Elephas maximus indicus: one gene and its partners. The protein of the gene in region 2 purifies or fractionates together with the protein of the main gene of each other region. This does not show direct contact. Links are inferred from orthologs where the notes say so. Each region holds a gene or a part of one and is shown on either strand. Other genes may lie near its edges. The genes, in order: TMEM9B, CLCN5 and TMEM9.

Region 1 (7,881 bases), on a different chromosome or scaffold from region 2:
ACATGGACAGAAGCAGTTGAGCTAGAGTTCTATAAGGGATGATGTTTTAGAGGCACCCAGCCATAACTAGAAAGAAACTACATAAGGGAAGTAGCTTGATTCTAGCTGAGATCAGTATGGTTTACCCTCTCCAGCAAACTTTGCTTCTAATTCCTGATACACAGTGTCTTAGCTTCTTAGTGCTGCTATAACAGAAATACCACAAGGGGGTGGCTTTAACAAACAGAAATTTACTTTCTCACAGTTTAGGCTCAAAGTCTGAATTCAGGGCACCAGTGCAGGGAAGGCTTTCTCTCTCTGTCAGCTCTGGGGGAAGGTCCTTGTCTCTTTTCAATTTCTGTTCCTAGGATGTTTCCCCCATTTGTGTTTCCTTGCTTCTATGTCTAATCTGTTCTTTTATATCTCAAAAGTGATCAGTTTAAGGCATACCGTCATGCATATGGCCTCATTAACATAACAAAGAAAACCTTATTCCCAAATGAGATTATATCCACAGGTATAGGGGTTATGATTTACAACATATTTTGGGGGGACACAGCTGAATCCATAACAAACAGGGAGGAGGGCAACTACCAACAAAGCAAGTTTCAAGAGGTGGAAGAAGAGGTGACTAAATATCTGGGTAGAGGGTGCGGGAGATGCTTCCTCAGCAAAGAGGAATCTATCTGAGATGGCAGTGGCTCTTCAGTCCCCAAAACACTGCTCCTATATACAGTGGTCTGTCTGGCAGAGATGTTCACAATTCATTTGGCAACCACTTAGTGAGCATTTGCTCTGTACCACACCTTGTGCTCTTAAAGGGGATTCAGATAAGGGTAAAACGTGGTTCCTGCCCTTAATTAGGACACACCCTAGTGAAACAGACTGATAAGTACATGATTACAATTCACTGCATAAAGTAACGGAGATATGCAGAAGGTATCAACAATGTTTTGAAAGTCAGGAGACTTGCTGCTGCTGGTGTCTGGTTGGAGACAGGAAAGGTTTCAGAAAGAATGCTTCATCAAAAATACCTGCCTGCCTGTAGCCTGTCTTTCCCCACCCCTGTATTCAAAGATGGAGCCCTGGTGGCACAGTGGTTAAAACTCGGCTGCTAACCAAAAGGCCAGCAGTTCAGATCTACCAGCCCCTCCTTGGAAACCCTATGGGGCAGTTGTACTCTGTCCTGCAGGGTCGCTATGAGTCGGAATGACTCAACAGCAGCATTTTTTTTTTTTTAAATATTCAAAGATGTTATTGATTAAAGCTCCTATTTTTAAAAATGCATTGTTTGCCCATCATGTTACGCAGGTTTCTCCTGTTTTTCCTGATAACAAGCTAGCTCATCAAGGAATGTTTTTTGTTTCTATAATGATCTCGAATCCCATAAGGTATAAGTCACTATTATGCTTTCAAAATACATACGCATAAGCACTCATAATATGAATTTGGAAATAGAAATATGTGTACCTTTGTGAGGCTCTCTATCGTTAACTATAAACCAAGAAGATGTTATTTAGAAAATTTCTGAACTTAAACAATCTAATTTCTAACCTAGAAGAAAAATGTGACATTCGGCTAATCTCTATCCCTGAAGAAATGACATAACACACTAATCTTTGACATCACATTGGCCCTTATTGTGTGAGGCAAAGGTGGAATTTCATAAATAAACCCTGAATTTCTGCTCACTCACCGAGAAAAGGCAGAGGTAAACACCTAGAGCCCACTGAAACTCTGCCTGCTACCACCAACCTCAGACCCTAGCTATGAGGGACCTCCGCTGAGTTCAAGCCGTGGTTAAGCCTTCTTCCCAAGACCTCTCATTAAAGGTAAAAGCCTGAAGCATAAAGATTTGGACTCTAACCTTTGAATTAACATTGTAATTGTTAATTCTGATTCTCTGGTTCTAAATGAATGTTGTAAGGTCTTGTGTGCCTTGCCATGACTACCCTACAACAAATTAAATGAGTTTATGGGTGACAAACCTGAGTATCTCTCTATTAACTTTCTAAGATTAAAGCCTTACATGACAAAGAGGAAGCACAAACTTGTATGGGACCAGGGCAGATATGGCGGTTAGGGGCACCATGGGAACCAGCTAGCAGCATGAGGGGACTAGAAGGAACAAGACACAGAACAGGGAAGGGCCATAATAGCACCTCTGTAGTTTGGTTCCTCCTTTGCCCAATAAATTACCAGGAAGAGGGAAGACAAGAAAGGGCCCAGGAAGTCCTGAAAGGAGTGTGGTGAGGATATTAAGCCGGAGAGAGATACTCGGTAGGTCCTTTTGGGAGGGAAAGCTGCCAGTAGGTGCAAGTTTCTACAATGGAAAGGGAATCTGTTCAGGGATGAGTTGAGATGAAAGTCAGTCGGTAAGAGAGCAGACTTCTGTGAGATGGGGGCTGCCTGTCATTTTGGCTTGGGGGTTTGGAGACCCGTGAATCTGGAGGAGGGTGGGTAGTCTCTCAGTGCTTAAGGGTGGAATGTAGGGTTGCTCTTACAGATGGAAAGGTTGTAAAGTTTGAGGTGGGTGCTGTCAGGGCTGGGATGGGAAATGTCAGTGGGGTGGGGGAGTTGCTGCTCGGGCTGTGAGGCATCGTCACGGCTGGGTAGAGAGGAGGGGTAGACTATCAAGGCTGCAGAGAGGGGAGTATTGTCTGGGCTGGGGCGGGGGTAGTGACAGTCAGACCGTCAAGGCTGGAGGGCAAGAGTGGTGCTACCAGGCTTACGGGTGGGGGTTTGCCGAGGCTATGAAGCTACGGGTCGGGCTGTCAGTGCTGGGGGAGGTAGGAGGTTGGGAGCAGGCTGACAGGCTCTGTTTTCGCAAGGCAAGGCCGAAGGCAGGGGAGGAGCTGCTGTCAGGAGCAAAGGCTGGGCGGGACTCACCTTGGCGGCGTCTGACAGCTGCACGAGGAGCAGAACCGAGAGCGCCAGGCACGACAGGCTGAGCATGGAGCCAAGGCGAAAGAGGCCTCCCCACAGGGCCGCCATCGCGGACAGGCCGAGCTGTCCCCACAGCCTGGAGCCCCGAGACCTGCTCCCGGCTCAGGCTGGGGATCTCCGGCACCTCCGCCCGCACTTCCGTCTAGGCCACCTCGTCACGGGCCGCGCCGGGTCAGCCGCAAAAAGCATCCGCCCCGGAAACGGTTCCCGGTGCTAAGGGACCGGAGGCTGCGCGGTCCGGGCGCCTGGGCCGGCCAACGCTCGGGCCCCAGAACGGAAAGAGGCCTCTTCGGGGTGGCAGCCTCGGCCCGGCGGGGTTTTGAGGCGCTTGGATATCTTTCCCGGGCGCAGCAGCGACAGGAGCTAGTGGAGCCGCCAGTGTGCTGTACCGCTCTCCAGCAATCCATGCGGAGCCGGGGCTGTTGCCAGCCTCCGGAGACCCGGGTGAGCTCGCGTCCCAGGATTTGCCGGGAGCGCCGCCCATCCCAGCCGGCGCAGGCAGGGCGCGAGCTAGGAGTGGGGACGGGCCCGGGACTGGCCGAGGCATCCCCTCGGCGAAGCTCGCCCCCAGTCGGGGGTCGGGGGTCGTCTCCCGGGCCTTGGGTACGAGCCCGCAGCTGGGCGCCTCCCCGACACGGCTCCTGCCGGCTTTCCGCGTCTCCGAGAGATGCCGTAGCGAGTTTGATCTCGGCTTGAGGCTCCCGGCCCGCCTCCTGATGGGAGCTGCTGCAGGAACTGGGCCACAGCGGCGGGGCTGGGCCAGGCCGGGCTCCGGAAGGTGTGGAGTTGGCGAAAGAACCGCCCTAGCAGCCTCCTTCGCCAAGGACTCCAGGAGGTGGGGAATCGTGGCGCTACGCCCCGGCGAGGCAGTGCCTATTCGGGGCGGCTGGCTCCTACATCGAAGCTGGGGGGACGCTGACCGATCTTCCCGGGGCGGGTCCGGAGTACTCTGCAGATGGCCGTGTCTCCCACTGAAGTATTTTTCGGTTAGTGGAAGTAGTGGAAAGATGCAGGGCTCATCAGCCACCACCGATTTGCTGAATGACCTTGGGCAAATAACTTCCCCTCGCTTGTCTGTAATGTGAGGGGATTAAACGCCATCTGTGGGTTTGAAATTCTGCTCCCATGGAATACCCGTTTTTCTGTCTGTAAACAAGTTTTAAAGGTAGCCTTTTCCGAGTTCGTGGAAATGTTTTAATTAACGGACACGATTTTCTCCATTTTTTTCTCCCATGTGATTTTTGTTGATACTAGAATCTGACACCTTCTTGTGTTGTTGCATTAAATGTATTTAGCCCTTTTCAGTCTCAAATGGCAAGTGGTGCCCAGCCCCAACCAGAACCAGAGCGGCAGGACTGAATGATCTCTCACCACGGCCATTTCAGGGTGCTCTGTGAACATGCTGAAACATTAGTGAATTAATCAGGCTTTTGTAGTGGGTGTTCTGCTGGCCAGGGGACAGTCTGGAGACACCCAGGGTCAAATATGTCTGACTGTGAGGCACTGGATCTATGACTGCTAAAAGCTAATTCAGCGGCAAATTTGTGATGAGTTGATTTCATCAGGATCAATTTCCAGGTTTGGCATCTGAAGGGAGTGCTCATTCTTTGGCTGAAACCTCATAAGGCTTCTCTTCCTTCTTCAAAATTGTTCTCAGGGCTTTGAATGGGAGTATACAGGCTTAGAGGAAATATATAGTAATACCCTGGTCTGATGGGCCTCAGCTGTTTAAAGGAGAAGTGCCAACTACACTCAGCCGGTGCTGTCCAATACGGTAACCCCTAGCCACAGGTGCCGTTTGAGCACGTGCACATGGCTAGCCTGAATTGAGATGTGCTGTAAGTGCAAAATATACATTGAATTTCAGACTTTGTACAAAAAAAAAAAAAAATGCAAAATATCCCAATTGTGTAATAATTACGGTCGAAGTGATATTTTAGGTATATTGTGTTAAATAAAATATATTATTAAAATAATTTCACTTGTTTCTTTTTACTTTTTAAGTGTAGGCAGCACCATTCTAGAATATAGAATGTGGCTGCCATGAGAGGGGTATGACTGAAAAATGACTGCCTAGATGGAGACTGAATGAAGACTCAGGTCAGAGTTAGGACTGAGGGGACAAGGAAAAACTGACACAGCTACAGCGGAGGGTTTGGGGGACGTATATGTCTGCCAACAAGTGAATATAGTTTTAGGGGATTCAATAGAAGTGAAGGAGTCAGTTCTTATTCTGCACTGCCCATACCTAGATAGCGCTTACTTTTCCTTTTCCTCAGGAGTCTTCTAAGCCAGAAAGCATTCCTTGACTTAAATGCACTCCCTTCCGGGTTTATGCAGTTCTCTTTCCTAACTTACCCCATTATAGTAACATTGTGTCTCCATATCTGCCTCTATACTCCCAGCCTCCCCTCCTCTTTGAGAGCAGGGACCTTGTCTTATTTATCTTCGTACCTACAGAGACTGGGTGTCGTGGATTAAATTATGTCCCCCCCCCCGCCCAAAATGTGTATCAACTTGATTAAGCCATATGTGGTTGTCCTCCATTTTGTGATTTTATGTTAAGAGAGTTAGGGTGGGATTATAATACCACTCTTACTCGGATCATCTCCCTGATCCAATGTAAAGGGAATTTCCCCGAGATGTACCCTGCTCCACCTTTTCTCTCTCAAGAGATAAAAGGACAGGGAAGCAAGCAGAGAGCTGGGGACCTCATATCACCCAGAAAGCAGCACCAGGAGCAGAGCACGTCCTTTGGACATGGGGTGCCTGCACCTGAGAAACTCCTCAACCAGGGGAAGATTGAGGACAAGGACCTTCCTCCAGAGCTGACAGAAAGCCTTCCCCTGGATTTGGACTTGTAACCTACTAAACTATGAGAGAATAAATTTCTCTTTGTTAAAGCCACCCACTGGTGGTATTTCTATTATGGCAGCACTAGAGGCCTAAGACGCTGGGACAGAGTAAAAACCAATAAATGTTTGTGGAGACCAGGGAAAAGCAAAAGGAGGATGAGGGAGGCTCCTCTGGTCAGCCTGAGAGAAAAGTATCAGGTACCTTTCTGGCCACTAGAGGGCAATGCTGAAATGCCCAAAGGAGAGGTACAGATGGTAGGACCCGGGCACTATATTAGGCAGGAGAGGGGAGATTTCTGACCTAAGGTCTTCCTAGACCTTCAGGTCACATGAGGGTTGTTCTGTTTACAGGAAGGACTGGCCCCTTAGTGAGAACCTGCTCCTTTCCCCTTCCCTTTCTATGCTTCCCTGTGACTAGGTTTCCCTACTCCATTCCTCTTTAAGGAGTGACACAGGCCCAAGTGCATCCTCCCACCTAACCTAGGCTCTCTTCTTTGTGAGGCCTGAAAAATTTTCTGGGGGGGGATGGTTGAGAGAAGAGGAGCCTTCTCTAAATTTAAGCATGGAAGTCAGAAGGTTAGGAAGCAGAAGTGGCAATTTATGTATCTGGGACAAATGGATGACAAGGACCAAGGCTATGCCAGCTCTAGATAGTCTGCAGCCCCATTATCCTCTTTCCCTTCCAGTGGTCAAACAGCGCTCTGGACACCCCTTTCTTTCTTATTCTTCCACTCCATCTTTTCTGGTCTTCCCAGCACTTGCTCAGGCCATACCAGCCTGGAAGTACAAATGGAGTCATGCACAGCATCAATGATGATTTCCCTGGATTGTGCCTCCACTGGTTAGGACAGGATTCACATACACACACATACCCTGAAGTACTTCTGAGCATACCCTGGAAACGTCTGATAATGAGCCCTCTTGTTTACCATGTGCACCTGCTAGGATGCTCCCTCTTACTTGCCCCCTTTAGTGAGATCTGCCCTCTACTACATATGAAGCCACATAAGTGTATCATGCCACTGCTGTACCTTGCTAGTGCCCACCATAATAACAGCAATGCACAGGGCCATAATATTATCTCTGTTCCTTGAGCTGCTGGTCCCACTACTGCTGGCAAGTTACTGGAGCCCCTAAATAACAAAGCAACACAAGGTCCATACCAAACTAGGGAGAATTTTTAGTTTCTTTCAGAAGGGTATTAAACTATCATTTGTTTCCCAGTGTCTTACAATACTTATGAAAAGGGCCTGAGGGTTATGAACATGAATTTAAAATAAGACTAGTCACCCGGTTCCTGCACAGATATAGGCAATTAGGTAAATAGCTAGCTTTAGCTAAAGTGGTTTTGTGAAGTATGACAAGAGAAGGTAATCTGTGTTAAAATTACATGTATGTGAATGATGATGATGACTGAATGTGGAATTTAAGTTGGTTAAGAAGAGAGGAAGGAACCCTGGTAGTGCAATGGTTAAGTGCTTGGCTGTTAACTGAAAGGTTGGGGATTTGAAACCACCAGCCACTCTTTGGAGCAAAGACCTGGCGATCTGCTCCTGTAAAGATTACATCCTGGGAAACCCTACAGGGCAGTTTTATTCTGTCCTATAGGATCACTAAAAGTCAGAATCAACTTGACAGCACAGGAGGGACAAGAGGAACTCAGAGAAGTGAGGAACAATGAAACAGTAGTAGTCAAATGATTATTGGAGTCATGTTACTAGGAGATAGCTGGAAAGATAGAAGGTGGTGCTCGGACAGTGAGATACATTAAGCTGAGATTATGGCTAGGTTAGTTTTTGGTAATAAATAACATCTAAGGTAGGACCATGGGAGTAAATGGCTGAGAATGGTAGAGGATAACTGATATTCAAGAAACCAATATATCAGGGTATTAAAAGGTTCGGCCATGTATGTAATTAAATGGCAAGAGTTAAATCAGTAGCAGTGTTGGAGAGAGTGAAGTGAGCCAGGAGCTAAAATTTTATTGAGAAATGAAAGGGAATGACCCAAGGGTCTATAGATAATAGCAACAATGAAGGGAAGTAGGGGATATAATTTGATGGCATGAGACTGAAAGCTGGGGAGTTTTATAGGAAGATGG
Region 2 (6,943 bases):
TAAAGAGTAAATTTTCTATGTGGTAGCAATTCACAGGTTCACAAGAGATGTAACTCCACCACCCAAGATGTTGCTGACCTTTGCTCTCGGGTACTTCACATTATTAAAACAGGCATTTTTTTCCTCCATCACCAAATATAAACCTTGTAATACTAAATATGCTTTTACAAGCTGCATTAAGTCCCAGGAAAGTTTTTATTGAGAAGAGGAAGCCAGGGAGACACTGACATCTGTCTACCCACCTTCGAGAATCCTATGATAGAAATTTTCAGGAAACCAAAGAAAAGCACAAATATAAAAAATATCCTGTTTCCTCATATATAACCCCCACAAGCACATGTTTAAATGAAAGGGAGTTCTTTTAAAATGCTTCTGGCACTAAATTTTCCTGCTACCTCCCTTCACTCCTCCACCTCTACTTTAAAATAATTTGAGCTTCTAGCTAGCAGCAGCTACTTTTAAGCTAATGTGTTTTGTCCTTGCCAAGACAAAGGGTTAAATTAAAGAAATAGCTGGCTAGCTGCCACTGGCTTGGGGGATGGGTAAGACTGGAGGATAAGAAGGAAGAAAAACCAGTTAGAGGAATAAGTGCTAATTTCTTACCCTGCCACATGGCCATCTGATACTATCTTCTCCCACACTGGGGTCACAGTCTCAGGGTTTCCTAGAGCACTCCAGTTTTGTAGAGAGTCTTGAATAGGGTGTAGATGGAAGGTGTGGTCCTGCTTTCTGGAAAATGCTAGAACCCCAACCCTGAAAATGTGAAAAGAAAAATGAATACATAAATGCAAAAATACATTTCACCTCCTTGAAAATTATCTCCTACCTCTCTCTGAATCTCTCTTTTAAAGATACGCAGACACAGGCAGTGTCACATTTCCCCCTAAGCAGCAAGGAGTTGCTGAAGAAAGAGAAAATCCGGAGACCTAGAGTCAATTAATTTTGCTACTCAGTGCTGTACAATTCTGCATGAATCAATGGATCTTGAGTAAATGGGTTTCAGAATCTCAAAGGCTGGGTGGTTGGATGAGATAACAGTTAAAGTCTTTCCCATCTTGATTTCCCATCTTGAAGTTCCACGCTTTTGGGAATGAAAAAAAAAAAAAAACCAAACCCAGTGCCATCGAGTCGATTCCGACTCATAGCGACCCTACAGAACTGAGTAGAACTGACCCACAGAGTTTCCAAGGAACGCCTGGCAGATTCGAACTGCCAAGCCTTTGGTTAGTAGCGGTAGCACTTAACCACTACGCCTCCAGGGTTTCCTTTGGGAATGAAGAGAAGAATAATATCCAACCCCTAAATACCCAACGTTACATTAAAAATCAGTAGAAAGGAGAGCAAATGTTGTGAATACCAGTTTAAGTAAAACCAAATTAATTCAGCTAATTCCTATTTTTAAAACTTCAAATCCGGTCTTAGGACAATACTCTTTGCAAAGACAGGAAAGGAGCTAAGGATGAGAGAAAAAGTGAGATGTCTGACTACTTGATTCAGAGGTTTAATATACTGAGCACTTTGCCTGTCCATTTAAACAAGTTCTTAGTCAATAAATTGGTCTTCCTTATTTAGCATACAAGCCAATCTGCTTTTTCTAAGGAAAAGTCCTCACCTTTTGACCTGGTGAACATCAAAGTAGGTTGTTATTTCCTTAGCTTTTATACAATCAAGACCTCCATCCCCAAAGTGAAACCGCTAAAACACAAACACTGAAGACCAACACTAACTTGAGAATCATCATTTTGGCCTTCTTTAATGACTTTTTCTTTTAAGGATTAATGTACACACTAGTCCCAAAATACCGATAGAGAAAAAGACAACGAAAGGTTCAGGAAGTCCAGAAAAACTGCGAACTCATATAATATATTTCCAGGATGAATTCAACAGGGAAAAAGCGCCCTGGTGACTTATCTGGAACCTGGGACAGTTTGTTTTGGTTTGCCTTCCCCCCACCCCCCACCCCCCACCCCCATTATATGTGCAGTTAAGAAGTACTGATCTGAGCCTAATGGGGCAAGGCGAAAATTTAACATCTCTGAGGTTAAACCTGGGTAGTTGCTAATAAATGCATGAAGTTTATACAAAGTGGATCTTACTGGCTTTTTTGGGCTCCAAATTTCTGGATTTCCCTTGCTTACTCGAAGGAGCTTACACGAGTGTACACGCAACTTCTCTGTAACTCCAGGAAACTGATTTGCTCTGAAATGTTAATAAAGGTAAACGCGCGTCAACGTAAAGGCAAAGCTTTCCCTTTAAGGGTAAAGGAGCTCAAGCGCAAGCCTCGAAAGTTTGGAGAGAACCATCCACTCGCGTTGAGAAACTGAAAACGTGCAGCAACTACTTTTCTGTGAGTTTGGACTCAACTTCGCTAAGACCCACACAAACCTGCAAGTCCAGCACAGGAGAGAGAAAAATGGGCCTTGACAGAGCTTTACCAGCAAAAGCCATCCTGCGCCGGTACTGGAAAGGGGACATATGCAACTAACTACTCACATTCAAAACCTGGGCGGGCTTGGCGCCGCTCCGCGAGGAACCTTCACTCAGGCAGCTCATGGACCCTTGCTCGGAGAGCAGGGTTGGGCTCCCTGGAAGATCCCGCCACACACTGGCTAGAACTAGCCTGGCTAACTCCTCCAAGTGCCAGGCAACGGCGGCTGAGTACGGGAATCACCTATCTCCAGGAGCTGAGCTGGCAGGGGAGCACTCCCCCGGAGTCGCTGCGCTCATAGGGTGCTCAGGAGGTGGGCCAGGGGCCAGCGGCGCCGCGAAGAACCTTTTGGGGAAGGGACAGCCCTTTTGTCTTTACCTGTCGCTGAGTCCGTCGCCCGCGGGCAGTGCACTCAGTTCGCTCTGAAGTCCAGGACACCAAGTTGAGCTAGCGCTCCACGTAGCCTGCAGAGCTTCATTCACACAGCCCAGCCAGGGAGGAGGGGGAACAGAGCGGGCGCGCGGCTCATGTGACAGGAGCCTCTCAAGTAGGGGCTCAGCACCGCCGACATCTGCGCGCGTGCGCGCTGAAGCCGGCCAGCTCCCTGCACCTCGGCAAAGGCAGGGACCTGCACTAGGCCAACAGGGGCGGAGAAAACTGCCGAGACAGTGTTGGGCGGAGTTTCAGCTAGCGCAGCCGCAGTAGGCGGCCCTGCTCGCTGCCATATTTAACGCGGACTGGGCGGGCCCTAACCCAGTGCTGGGCGTATCACTTGTGTAAAAAAAAGAAATGTTGCATTATGTTTCCATGTTTTCGTCTGCTGTACTTTCTTTGCTTTTGTCCTTAGAATAAAATTGTTTATCCTGAACTTCTGCACCAGAGTAGTTAATTAGCTCACGTATTTTGAACCTCTTATTATTTCAGGCACTGCTCTAATCCTTTTACTTTTTTTTTTTACCTCATTTAAAGCTCACAATAACCCGAAGGGGTTAAAAAAAAAAAAAAACCGGTGCCGTCAGGTCAATTCTGACTCATAGCGACCCTATAAGACAGTAGAATTGCCTTATGGGGATTCCAAGGCTGTAAATCGTTAAGGAAGCACACTGCCACATCTGTCTCCCCTGAAGCAGCCCATAGGTTTCAACTATGGACCTTTGAGTTGGCTGGTGCTAGAACTGCTGACCTTCTGGTCGCATAACCACTGCGACACCAAGGCTCCTTACCCCAAGGGGTATATACTATTGTTTTTCCATTTTTTGTTCATAAGAAAACAGAAACAGAAAGATTAACTTGTCTGAGATCACATATTGGTGGTAGTAATGCTTGTAGCAACCAATTTTATCCTTACAGCAACACTGGAAAATCCACACCGCAGTTATCAGTATTATCTTCATTTAAATAATTATAAAACTAAGTGTCTTAGTTATCTAGTGCTGGTATAACAGAAATACAAGTGGATGGCTTTAACAAACAGAAATTTATCCCAGCACAGTCTAGGAGGCTATAAATCTGAATTCAGGGCACAAGCTCCAGCAGAAGGCTTTCTCCCCCTGTCGGTTCTGGGGGAAGGTCCTTGTCATCAATCTTCCTCTGATCTAGGAGTTTCTCAATGCAGGGACCCTGGGTCCAAAGGAGACCTCTGCTCTGGTTCTTCTTTCTTCGTAGCTGAAGGCCCTTCTTCCTCTCTGCTCAATTCTCTCTTTTATATCTCAAAAGACACAAGATATAACCCAATCCTGTAGACTGAGTCCTACCTCATTAAGATAACTGCCTCTAATCCTGCCTCATTAACATCATAGAGGTTAGAATTTACAACACATAGGGTAATCACATCAGATTACAAAATGGTGGACAGCCACACAATACTGAGGATGGTGGCCTAGCCACACGTTTTTGGAGGACAAAATTCAATCCATAACAGTGAGGCTCAGAAAAGCAAAAGTCACAGGATTAGTAAACAGTAGAACTGGGATTCCAACCTGGGTCTTTTGACTCCAAAGCCCTGCGCCCTAGGGTTGGAAAAAACAGTTCCTCGTTTGACAGAAGAGAAAACTTAGGCCAAAGGAGGTGCGTTGAGTCGGTTAAAATGATCCCACCAATTAGTTATTGGCAGAACTGAGACTGGAATCTGTATAATCAATCCAGATAATCATACTAGAATTCAAGTATTCTAATTCAGAGTCTACTGCAGTGAACATTTTTGACTGCCTACTTTGTATTAGCTAAGTGCTAAGGGATACAGAACCTGTATCCTAACCCAATCAGCTAAAGGCCACCAAGGACAAATTTGTAGTGGGACAAAGTCAAGTTTTTTCACCCATTGCAACGAGGAAAGGGTGCTCTCGTGGCACAGTGGTTAAGAGCTCAGCTGCTAACTGAAAGGTTGGCAGTTCAAGCCCGCCAGCTGCTCCGTGTGAGAAAGATATGGCAGTGTGCTTCCATAAAGATTACAGCCTTGGAAACCCTATGGGGCAGTTCTATCCTATTCTATAGGGTCGCTGAGTTGGAATCAACTGGACGGTAAAGGGGGCAATGAGGGAAGACTGCACACTAGAGGAACATCTCACATCTTTGAGCATTTTTGGGCATCTCACCAAAGAAGAGTCATTATAGGATTTGGGAGAAGGGTGGAGTTTAGGTGAATTTTCAACAAAGCAATGTGTTTTGTAAGCTCAGAGCAAAGCAGGGTTGTGTGTAAAGGGATCAACATCAGGACTGGACTGCAAAGTGAGCCCAGAGTCCTGTTTCCTTGAGAATCACAAAGTAAAGATAGATGTGGAATGTTCTGTCCAGTTACCCCTTATCTGAAGCTCTACACCTGGTTTAAAATCAAGGCTGCTTTTCTTTGTCAAAGAAACTTAGATCCTCCAGACAAATGTGGGATGTTTTATTCTTACTAATACGATTTCAAGCAGCAAAGTTTCTGATAGTCTATGATTTTAGAGAACAAAGCTTCTCAGTGAATGAAAAAGCAATAATCACTCAAATAAAGGGGTTGTTATCATTTTACAGCTGCAGCTTGTCTTTGCGAGAAATATTGTTCCCTGTCAAATTTGTAGCTGCCTTTATCTATGTCTCTTCTCCCAGCCTGATGAATGACCGGGTGAATTTTTACTCAGTCCAAGCTAATCTTTACCTTCTCACCTGGTAACATTTAGTTCTTGCTTTGTGTGTGTAGTGGGGGTGAGGGGGTTGACACAAGTAACTAAAAAGAAACCAGGACAGGTTGTGCTGAGTCCATTGATAAACATAAACTCAAGTGGAGATAATGCATTGTACAAAGGTGTACAGGCAGGAAATCATATCTGAGGGCCTGAGAAGTCTTCTGTGACTGAAGCTTAGGGTAGGAAAATACAGGGGAGTTGTGGAAGATATACCCAGAAGATAAACTGAGACCCAATTATGGAAGATACTAAATGTTGGACTGAGATTTGTACTTAATTCAGAAAGTGATTGAGAAAGACCTAAGGTTTTTGATCAGGGCAATCCCTTTACTGGAATACTTCTTTAAGAAGGTGTATCTGAGTTTATGTTAATGGGGGAGGAACAACTCAGAAAAGGAGGGTGAGAATGGCTGTACAGCTCAAAGAATGTAATCAATGTCACTGAATTGCACATATACAAACTGTTGAATTGGTATATGTTTTGCTATGTATATTCTGAACAACAACAACAACAAAATAAATAGGAAAAAAAGGTGTGTCTGGGGTGACTCTTCAAGAAGAGGTTTGTTTGATTGCTTGCTTTTTTTCCTATCCCAGGGTAGGGGAAACTGGAGCTTCCGTCAGATTGAGCAGGAAGATCCACTCATGAGAGAGAAATTGAAGGGGCAAGAAGAGGAGGTAATTAATGGAGTAAAATGTTAGGGGAAATAGAGACAAAATACAAAATATAAGCTAACCTTAGAAAAGACACCTCTAGAGGTGGAGCCAAAATGGCAGAATAGACAGATGCTTCCAGCAAGCCCTTTTTACAACAAAGATACGAAAAAACAAGTGAAACGAGTATATTTATGACAAGCTAGGAACCCTGAGGATCAAAGGCAAGCTTAGAAAACGAACTGAGGGGCAGAGGGAGGAAGAGACAGTTCAAAAGTGGGACCTGAATCACAGGGAGTTCTCAGGCACCATTCCCGGTAGCAGCTGCAGCGGGCTGGTACTACCCTTCGGGGGCAGTTTCCTCAGGGAGAAGCAGCCAGCCACACAGCCTACTCATACCTCAGGAACCAGAGAAGAACGGTGCTCTTGGCAAAAGCTAAGTACTTGCATATATTTTACTGCCCCCCCACCCCGCCCGCCAAAGCCAGATTCAGTGGCTGACTTCCCTGGGCCTGAGATAGGCCCTGTTGAACGCCTAAAGCCATCCTCCTGTCCTTGGAGAAGGAATAAATTTGCAATTCGGAGAAAAGATACGTTGCCAACTCCACTAACCAGGGGAGCTCACTACAGAAGTGGCTCCTGTCCAGGCGTAAATGGTCCGTGGACATTGAGTACCTTTCCCCTCTGCATGGACACG
Region 3 (7,184 bases), on a different chromosome or scaffold from region 2:
ATCCAGTCAGTTTCAAAGTTCCCAAATGCTGCTCTGGGTTAACGGCATCATGATCATCTAAGCAGCGTGAAGAAAGGTCACTGCCCCTCATCCCGTGTTTACTGAGTCTCAATCGTGGGGCGGGGGACAGGGAGTGGGAGAAGGTGCTGGGAACTTGAATTTCCCCAAAGCTCACCTGATGATCCTAATTTACAACCAAGTATAGGAAACATGGCCCAGACTGCCATCCGATGTTCATCTCTTCTACTGTGCCTGATCAAGGTGTCATCCCATCTGTGCTCAGATCCCTCCAAGGAGGATCCGGAAACAGCCTGGATTACAAACCCTCCCTCCACTCACATTTAAATTTGCCTGAAGGCTTCAAGCCCTGGCCCCAAATCTACACATTGAACATAACTGAGTCCTACAAAATCCTCCACTCCCCTCGTACTCCCATCCGCCACAGCATGCCAGCCCTCCTCACAGTCTCTTCAGCCACTCAGGGGTCCCCAAGCCCTCCAGGCTATTTCTAGCTCCTTAAATAATTCCTCTAGGACATGCTGAAACTCCCACCTCCCAAGCTTCGTCTCCCTTCTCTGAGTGAATTCTTATTTCTTCATCTTTTAAAGTAAGGCACCCAGAAATTAATTAAGACTTCAGTAGTTTTTAGTATAATTTAGATTCTCTCTCTGGGGTTCAGTCTCTGCAATTATACAAAGGGACCAATACCCATCCCATTTACCTTACAAGGGTGTTGAGAGACTGGCACAAAATCACTCACATAACAGGGCTTTGAAAAAGTCCATGGCCATAACACTTACCTCGCCCAACTACTCTATTTCCATTCTGCATACATCAGTCAAGACCCCAATTCAAAGCAAAACAATACAGTTCACTCTTCTGACGAGGAACCCCTCAGCTGGAATTCAAGACATCTGGGTCCTGTTTCCAACTGGCTGTGTATCTCTGGACAAAATATTCCTTTCTCAGGCTCTCTATAGAAATGGGAGAGCAAGCTTATCCTCCAGGAGTTCCAAGGATCCTAGTAAACACCCATAACCTGAACTAGGCTGAGCAGCCAAGGGGCCAGCCCACGTAACGCCTTACCAGTCCTTCTGTGACACATTCTGGTTGTAAATGTTCCCACTGAGGTTTCTATAGGGTGGACAGATGCATTTGCACCGAATATCTTCAGAACTCTGGAAGAAAAAACACAGCCGAGGTAGACGGGCCCCAGGGTTCAGTTCTAGCAAGGCTTCTGACTCTGAGCTCCCTGTTCTGTATGTACGCTTCTGATCTTTCTCCACCTCCAATGACCTCTGTAGGAAAGGTGCTACATCACAGGGCCCTCAAGACAGAAACTGTCCAACCGGCAAATGAGACTCACACAAAGCTGTTGAGAACAGTCATTTCCTAAGTGGGATGCTTGGGACCCTATGTCCTGGGTCCCGCATGTCTGTGTGCACCTCTGCCCACCTCCCACCCTCATTCCATCTCCAACTTCCTAGGCTAGGAGTGTTGGAAGGAAAGGGCTGGGGGTTAGTAAGGAAATGTGGGTTTTTCCACGGGAATATTCAAGTAGCCTCACTTAAAGTTCTTTCCCTCTGGAATGGATCAGAGACAGCACCACAATTATTATCATTCCAATCAAGAATTCCCCAGACGGAATGCAAACAAACCCTCAAACTCAACCTTACTTCAAAGCCTTCAAATCTCAAATTCCGTGGACCCACCCAGACCCAGCTCTAAATCTCTTGCCCTTACAGAAGGGAAGTTACTCAGGTGTCCCACGGCTAGTGGGTCGCCCTTTACTAACAGAAACTTCCATCTGTATAGGGATTTACACTTATAACACATTTTTACATTACGTAATTTGACTCTTCCTAAGTAGTGCATATTATGTCGTTGTTAGTTGCTGTTGAGTCGATTGTGACTCCTGGTGACCCCATGTGCGCAGAGTAGAACTGCTCCATTGGGTTTTCAAAGCTGCAACCTTTCAGAAGCAGATCTCCAGGCCTGTCTTCTGGGGCACCACTGGGTGCGTTCCAACCACCAGCTAACCTTTCAGCTAGTAGTTGAGCTGAGGATTTATCTGTTTACCGCCACCCAGAGACCCCCATAGATATTATAACCACGCCCATTTTACACAGGAGTTTGCCGTGTGTGTGGAGAACAACTTCCCAGACACGAACTCCCTTGCTGGAATTCCGCCTCCAGCCTGTCTGATCCAGCACCATCCTGGCCGCCGACCTCTCCCCAGCCCACTCTCACTGGCTCTACCCTTAGGAAGTCCTGCAGCCCCGAGCCTAAGAGAACACGCCCTCAAAAGCACGGCCCACAGAAGAGTGAGGGGCAGGGTCTGAGCAGCAGCTACCTCTGGGGAAGCCCTGTACATAGGGCCGTCGTGCATGGGTGCTCACCTTGCTGGCTTGAGCTGGGAGTACCAGCAAACAGCCGACTACGGCCACGAAAGATAGGAGCTTCATGCTTACTCAGGCTCGCTGGGCCAGTAAGACGGGACACCTGGAAAAGAGACAGAGTCGGGGAGGAGGAAGGCACACCACAGCCAGATGTAGGAATGGGGTTGGTGGCTGGGCTCCCGGATTCCAGGGCTACCCGAGCCCGGTCCCCAAATGCTGCTTTCTCCCCCCACCCCACCCCCGCCAAGGCTCCGCCTCTCCATTGTCCACCCGGTAAGGCCTGCAAAGGGCGGCCCCAGGGGTCCGGGCCCCCAGGGGACACGGCCTAACCGGGCCTAGAGTTGCTCCGACAGGGCCCGACTCTGCCCCTCGCACAGCGCGCCCCAACGCCCTCCGCCATCTCCACCTCCGCCCGTCCCGGCAGCTCCTCCCCACGTAGGCCCGACGGGAACTTTGGGGGCAGAGTCTGGGAGCCCTGATTCGACGCCGAACCCCACTGCCCACCGCGTCCAGGGATCTCGGGCCGGGCTGGGACCCCCCGCCGGGACTCCCGCGACCCCCCATAACAACCCCCTACACGCCAGCCGCGTACCTCCGGGCCCAGCCACGGCCGCACCGGACTCTGCAGGCCCGCCCTCTTCCGGCTTCTATTGGCTGCCAGAGCAGCCGCTCAGTCTAACCTCGCCGTCGCCAAGGCAACAAGTCCCACCTTCGCCAGGGCGAGAAGGCTCGCTCAAGGGAGAGAGAGACAATTCTCAAACTCAATCAAATAAGAAAAGGAACGTCAGCCTTCTGAACTAGAAATGCTGAAGGGTTTTACCTTTGTGGCCTGTAAAACCCGTACTACAGTGCTTGTTCGTCTTGCTATTTTAAGGAGAAAGCATTTTATAAACTATAAAATAATAACAACAACAATAATGATGGTAAATGATGAGGTCTTCGTCCTCATTCACGATTTGGAAGTGTTCAGGGATCCACACCTTTGCTACAGAGGACATTACCCAGCATCTCTCACTCACACACACACACACAAACACACACACGCACGCACGCACGCACACACACACACACACACCACCCTCCCAACCCCTGAGGAAAAGGAGGAAACCAGGGGTGGCAATGGGCACAACAGTCTCCGTGCTGATATGCCAGGCCAGGCGTGTGCTGCCCCGGAAAAGATATCTCCTCTCTCTGGGCCTCAGTTTCCTTAGGAATTGGTTGGATACTATTATGGACTGAACTGTGTCTCCCAGAAATGTGTGTCAACTTGGCTAGGCCATGATTCCCAGTATTGTGTGATTGTTCTCCATTTTGTGATCTGATGTAATTTTCGTATGAGTTTTAAGTCCTAATCTCTGCCTGTGGTTATGAGTTAGTAATGAGACAAGATTAGGTTATGTTAAAGGGAATCAGGATGGGATGCAACACCCTTACTCAGATCACAGCCCTGACAGGATGTAAGGGGAGTTTCTCTGAGGTGTGGCCTGCATCACCTATTATCTCACAAGAGATAAAAGGAGACACAAGTGAGGAGAGAGAGAGGGATCTCTCACTACGAAGCAAGAAGCTCCGGGACACAAGTGCATCCTTTGGATCAGGGGTCCCTGCACTGAGAAGCTCCTAGACCAGGCACATCAATGACAAGGACCCTCCCCCAGAGCCAAAAGAGAGAGAGAGAAAACCTTCCCTTGGAGCTATTGTTGTTGTTAGATGCTGTCAAGTTGGTTCTGACTCATAGCAACACTATGTGCAACAGAACGAAACACTGCCCAGTTCCATGCCAACTCTCATAATTTTGTTATGCTTGAGTCCATTGTTGCAGCCACTGTGTCAATCCACCTCATTGAGGGTCTTCCTCTTTTTTTTGCTGACCCTCTACTTTGCCAAGCTTAATATCCTTCTCCAGGGATATTAAGCTTGGTCCCTCCTGATAACAAGTCCAAAGTATGTGACACGAAGCCTTGCCACTCTTGCATCTGAGGAGCATTCTGGCTGTACTTCTTCCAAGATGGATTTGTTCATTCTTTTGCAGTTAATGGTATATTCAATATTTTTGGCCAAAACCATAATTCAAAGGCATTGATTCTTCCTCGGTTTTCCTTAATCATTGTCCAGTTTTCTCATGCATGAGGCTATTGAAAACACCATGATTTAGGTCAGGCACGCCTTAGTCCTTAAAGTGACATCTTTGGTTTTTAAAACTTTAAAGATGTTTTTTGCAGTAGATTTGCCCAATGCAATGCATTGTTTGATTTCTTGACTGCTACTTCCCTGGGCATTGATTGTGGATCCAAGTAAAATGAAATCCTCGACAACTTCAGTCTTTTCTCCGTTTATCATGGTATTGCTTATTGGCCCAGTTGTGAGGATTTTTGTTTTCTTTATGTTGAGGTATAATACATACTGAAGGCTGTGGTCTTTGGTCTTCATCGGTAAGTGCTTCAAGTTCTCTTTCAGCAAGCAAGGTTGTGTCATCTGCATATCACAGGTTGTTGTTGAGTCTTCCTCCAATCCTGATGCCCTGTTCTTCATATAGTCCAGCTTCTCTGATTATTCGCTCAGCATACAGATTGAATAAGTATGCAGAAAGGGTACGATCCTGACACACACCTTTCCTGGCTTTAAACCATGCGGTATTCCCTTGTTCTGTTCAGACAACTGGCTCTTGGCCTATGTATAGGTTCCTCATGAGCACAATTGAAGCGTTCTGGAATTTCCATTCTTTGCAATGTTATTCATAATTTATCAGGATCCACACAGTTGAATGCCTTTGCGTAGTCAATAAAACACAGGTAAAAATCCTTCTGGCATTCTTTGCTTTCAGCCAGGATCCATCTGACACCAGCAATGATGTCTCCTGTTCCACGTCCTCTTCTGAATCTGGCTTGAATTTCTGGCAGTTCTCTGCTGATGTACAGCTGCATCTGCTTTTGGATAATCTTTAGCAAAATTTTACTTGCATGTGATATTAATGATATTGTTTGATAATTTCCACATTCTGTTGAATCACCTTTCTTTGGCATAGGCATAAGTATCTCTTCCAGTTGGTTGGCCAGTTAGCGATCTTCCAAATTTCTTGACATAAATGAGTGAGCACTTAGAGCGATGCATCCATTTGTTCAAACATCTCAGTTGGTATTCCATCAATTTCTGAAGCCTTGATTTTCGCCAATGTCTTCAGAGCAGCTTGGACTTCTTCCTTAGTATCATCAGTTCTTAATCATATGCTACCTCCTGAAATGATTGAATGTCGACCAATTCTTTTTGGTACAATGACTCCGTGTATTCCTTCCACCTTCTTTTAATGCTTCCTGCGTCGTTCAGTATTTTGCCCCTAGAATCCTTCAATAATTGCAACTCAAGGCTGGAATTTTTTCTTCAGTTCTTTCAGCTTGAGAAACACTGAGCATGTTCTTCCATTTGGTTTTCTAACTCTAGGTCTTTGCACACGTTGTTATATTTTACTTTGTCTTCTTGAGCCACCCTTTGAAATCTTCTGTTCGACACTTTTACTTCATCCTTTCTTCTGTTTGCTTTAGCTACTTCACATTAAAGAGCAAGTTCCAAATTGTCTTCTGATATCCATTTTGGTCTTTCCTTTCTTTCTTGTCTTTTTAATGACCTCTTGCTTTCTTCATGTATGATGTCCTCAATGTCATTCCACAACTCGTCTGGTGTCGGTCATTAGTGTTCAACGCATCAAATCTCTTCCTGAGATGGTCTCTAAATTCAGGTGGGATAGACTCAAGATCATACTCTGGTTCTAGTGGACTCGTTCTAATTTTCTCCAGCTTCAACCTGAACTTTCGTATGAGCAACTGATTGTCTGTTTCACAGTCAGCCCCAGCCTCGTTCTGACTGATGATGCTGAGATTTTCCATTGTCTCTTTCCACAGATGTAGTCGATTTGTTTCCTGTGTATTTATCCAGTGAGGTCCACATGTGTAGTTGGCATTCATGTTGTTGAAAAAACATATTTGCAATGAAGAAGTTGTTGGTCTTGCAAAATTCTATCATGCAATCTCCGGCATCATTTCTATCACCAAGACCATATTTTCTAACTACTGATCTTTCTTTTTTGTTTCCAATTTCTGGTGCATTCCAATCATCAATAATTATCAATGCATCTTGATTGCATGTTCGATCAATTTCAGACTACAGAAATTGGTAAAAAATCTTCCATTTCTTCATCTTTGGCCTTGGTGGTTGGTGTGTACATTTGAAATATAGTCGTATTATTAATAGTTGTACAGTCATAGGACTATATTTTAAATAATAGTCTTTCTTGTAGGTGTATGGATATTATCCTATCACTGACAGCATTGTACTTCAGGATGGATCTTGAAGTATTATTTTTAATGATGAATGCAACAGCATTCCTCTTCAATTTGTCATTCATGGCATAGTAGACCGTATGATTGTCTGATTCAAAATGGCCAGTACCAGTCCATTTCATCTCACTACTGTCCCCTGGATCTGGCGCACTGAATTTGGACTTCTGCCCTCCTAAACTTGCTATGAGTCAGAATTGACTTGTGGCAACGGTTTGGTTTTCAGTTTTAAACTGTGAGAGAATAAATTTCTCTTTCTTGAAGGCAGCCACTTGTAGTATTTCTGGTACAGCAGCATTAGATAACTAAGACAGATACTAAGGTAACTTTCAGCTTTGATATTTTGGGATTCCTGAGGGGCAGATTAACCTGTTGCTGTGGGGTCGAATCTGACTCATACTGACCCTATATAGGGCAGAATAGAATTGTCCCATAGGGTTTCCAAGACTGTAAT

Evidence for each region.
Region 1: the proteins of CLCN5 (region 2) and TMEM9B purify together in Homo sapiens (co-immunoprecipitation; 3 studies listed by BioGRID and IntAct, counting the BioPlex papers as one, with this or other methods). This does not show direct contact. The link is inferred for Elephas maximus indicus from reciprocal best matches to the Homo sapiens genes CLCN5 and TMEM9B.
Region 3: the proteins of CLCN5 (region 2) and TMEM9 purify together in Homo sapiens (co-immunoprecipitation; 3 studies listed by BioGRID and IntAct, with this or other methods). This does not show direct contact. The link is inferred for Elephas maximus indicus from reciprocal best matches to the Homo sapiens genes CLCN5 and TMEM9.

The regions. Positions count from the first base shown.
Region 1 is NC_064825.1:64,171,789-64,179,669, forward strand, and holds the start of TMEM9B (transmembrane protein 9B), read right to left. Parts: upstream 3,095-7,881; 5' UTR 2,974-3,094; coding exon 2,869-2,973; intron 1-2,868. UniProt on the Homo sapiens protein: Enhances production of pro-inflammatory cytokines induced by TNF, IL1B, and TLR ligands. Has a role in TNF activation of both the NF-kappaB and MAPK pathways.
Region 2 is NC_064846.1:121,757,431-121,764,373, forward strand, and holds the start of CLCN5 (H(+)/Cl(-) exchange transporter 5), read right to left. Parts: upstream 3,074-6,943; 5' UTR 2,807-3,073; intron 2,200-2,806; 5' UTR 2,097-2,199; intron 754-2,096; 5' UTR 620-753; coding exon 604-619; intron 1-603. UniProt on the Homo sapiens protein: Proton-coupled chloride transporter. Functions as antiport system and exchanges chloride ions against protons. Important for normal acidification of the endosome lumen. May play an important role in renal tubular function.
Region 3 is NC_064836.1:9,656,115-9,663,298, forward strand, and holds the start of TMEM9 (proton-transporting V-type ATPase complex assembly regulator TMEM9), read right to left. Parts: upstream 3,085-7,184; 5' UTR 2,992-3,084; intron 2,918-2,991; exon of another isoform or gene 2,730-2,917; intron 2,503-2,729; 5' UTR 2,466-2,502; coding exon 2,400-2,465; intron 1,179-2,399; coding exon 1,087-1,178; intron 1-1,086. UniProt on the Homo sapiens protein: Transmembrane protein that binds to and facilitates the assembly of lysosomal proton-transporting V-type ATPase (v-ATPase), resulting in enhanced lysosomal acidification and trafficking.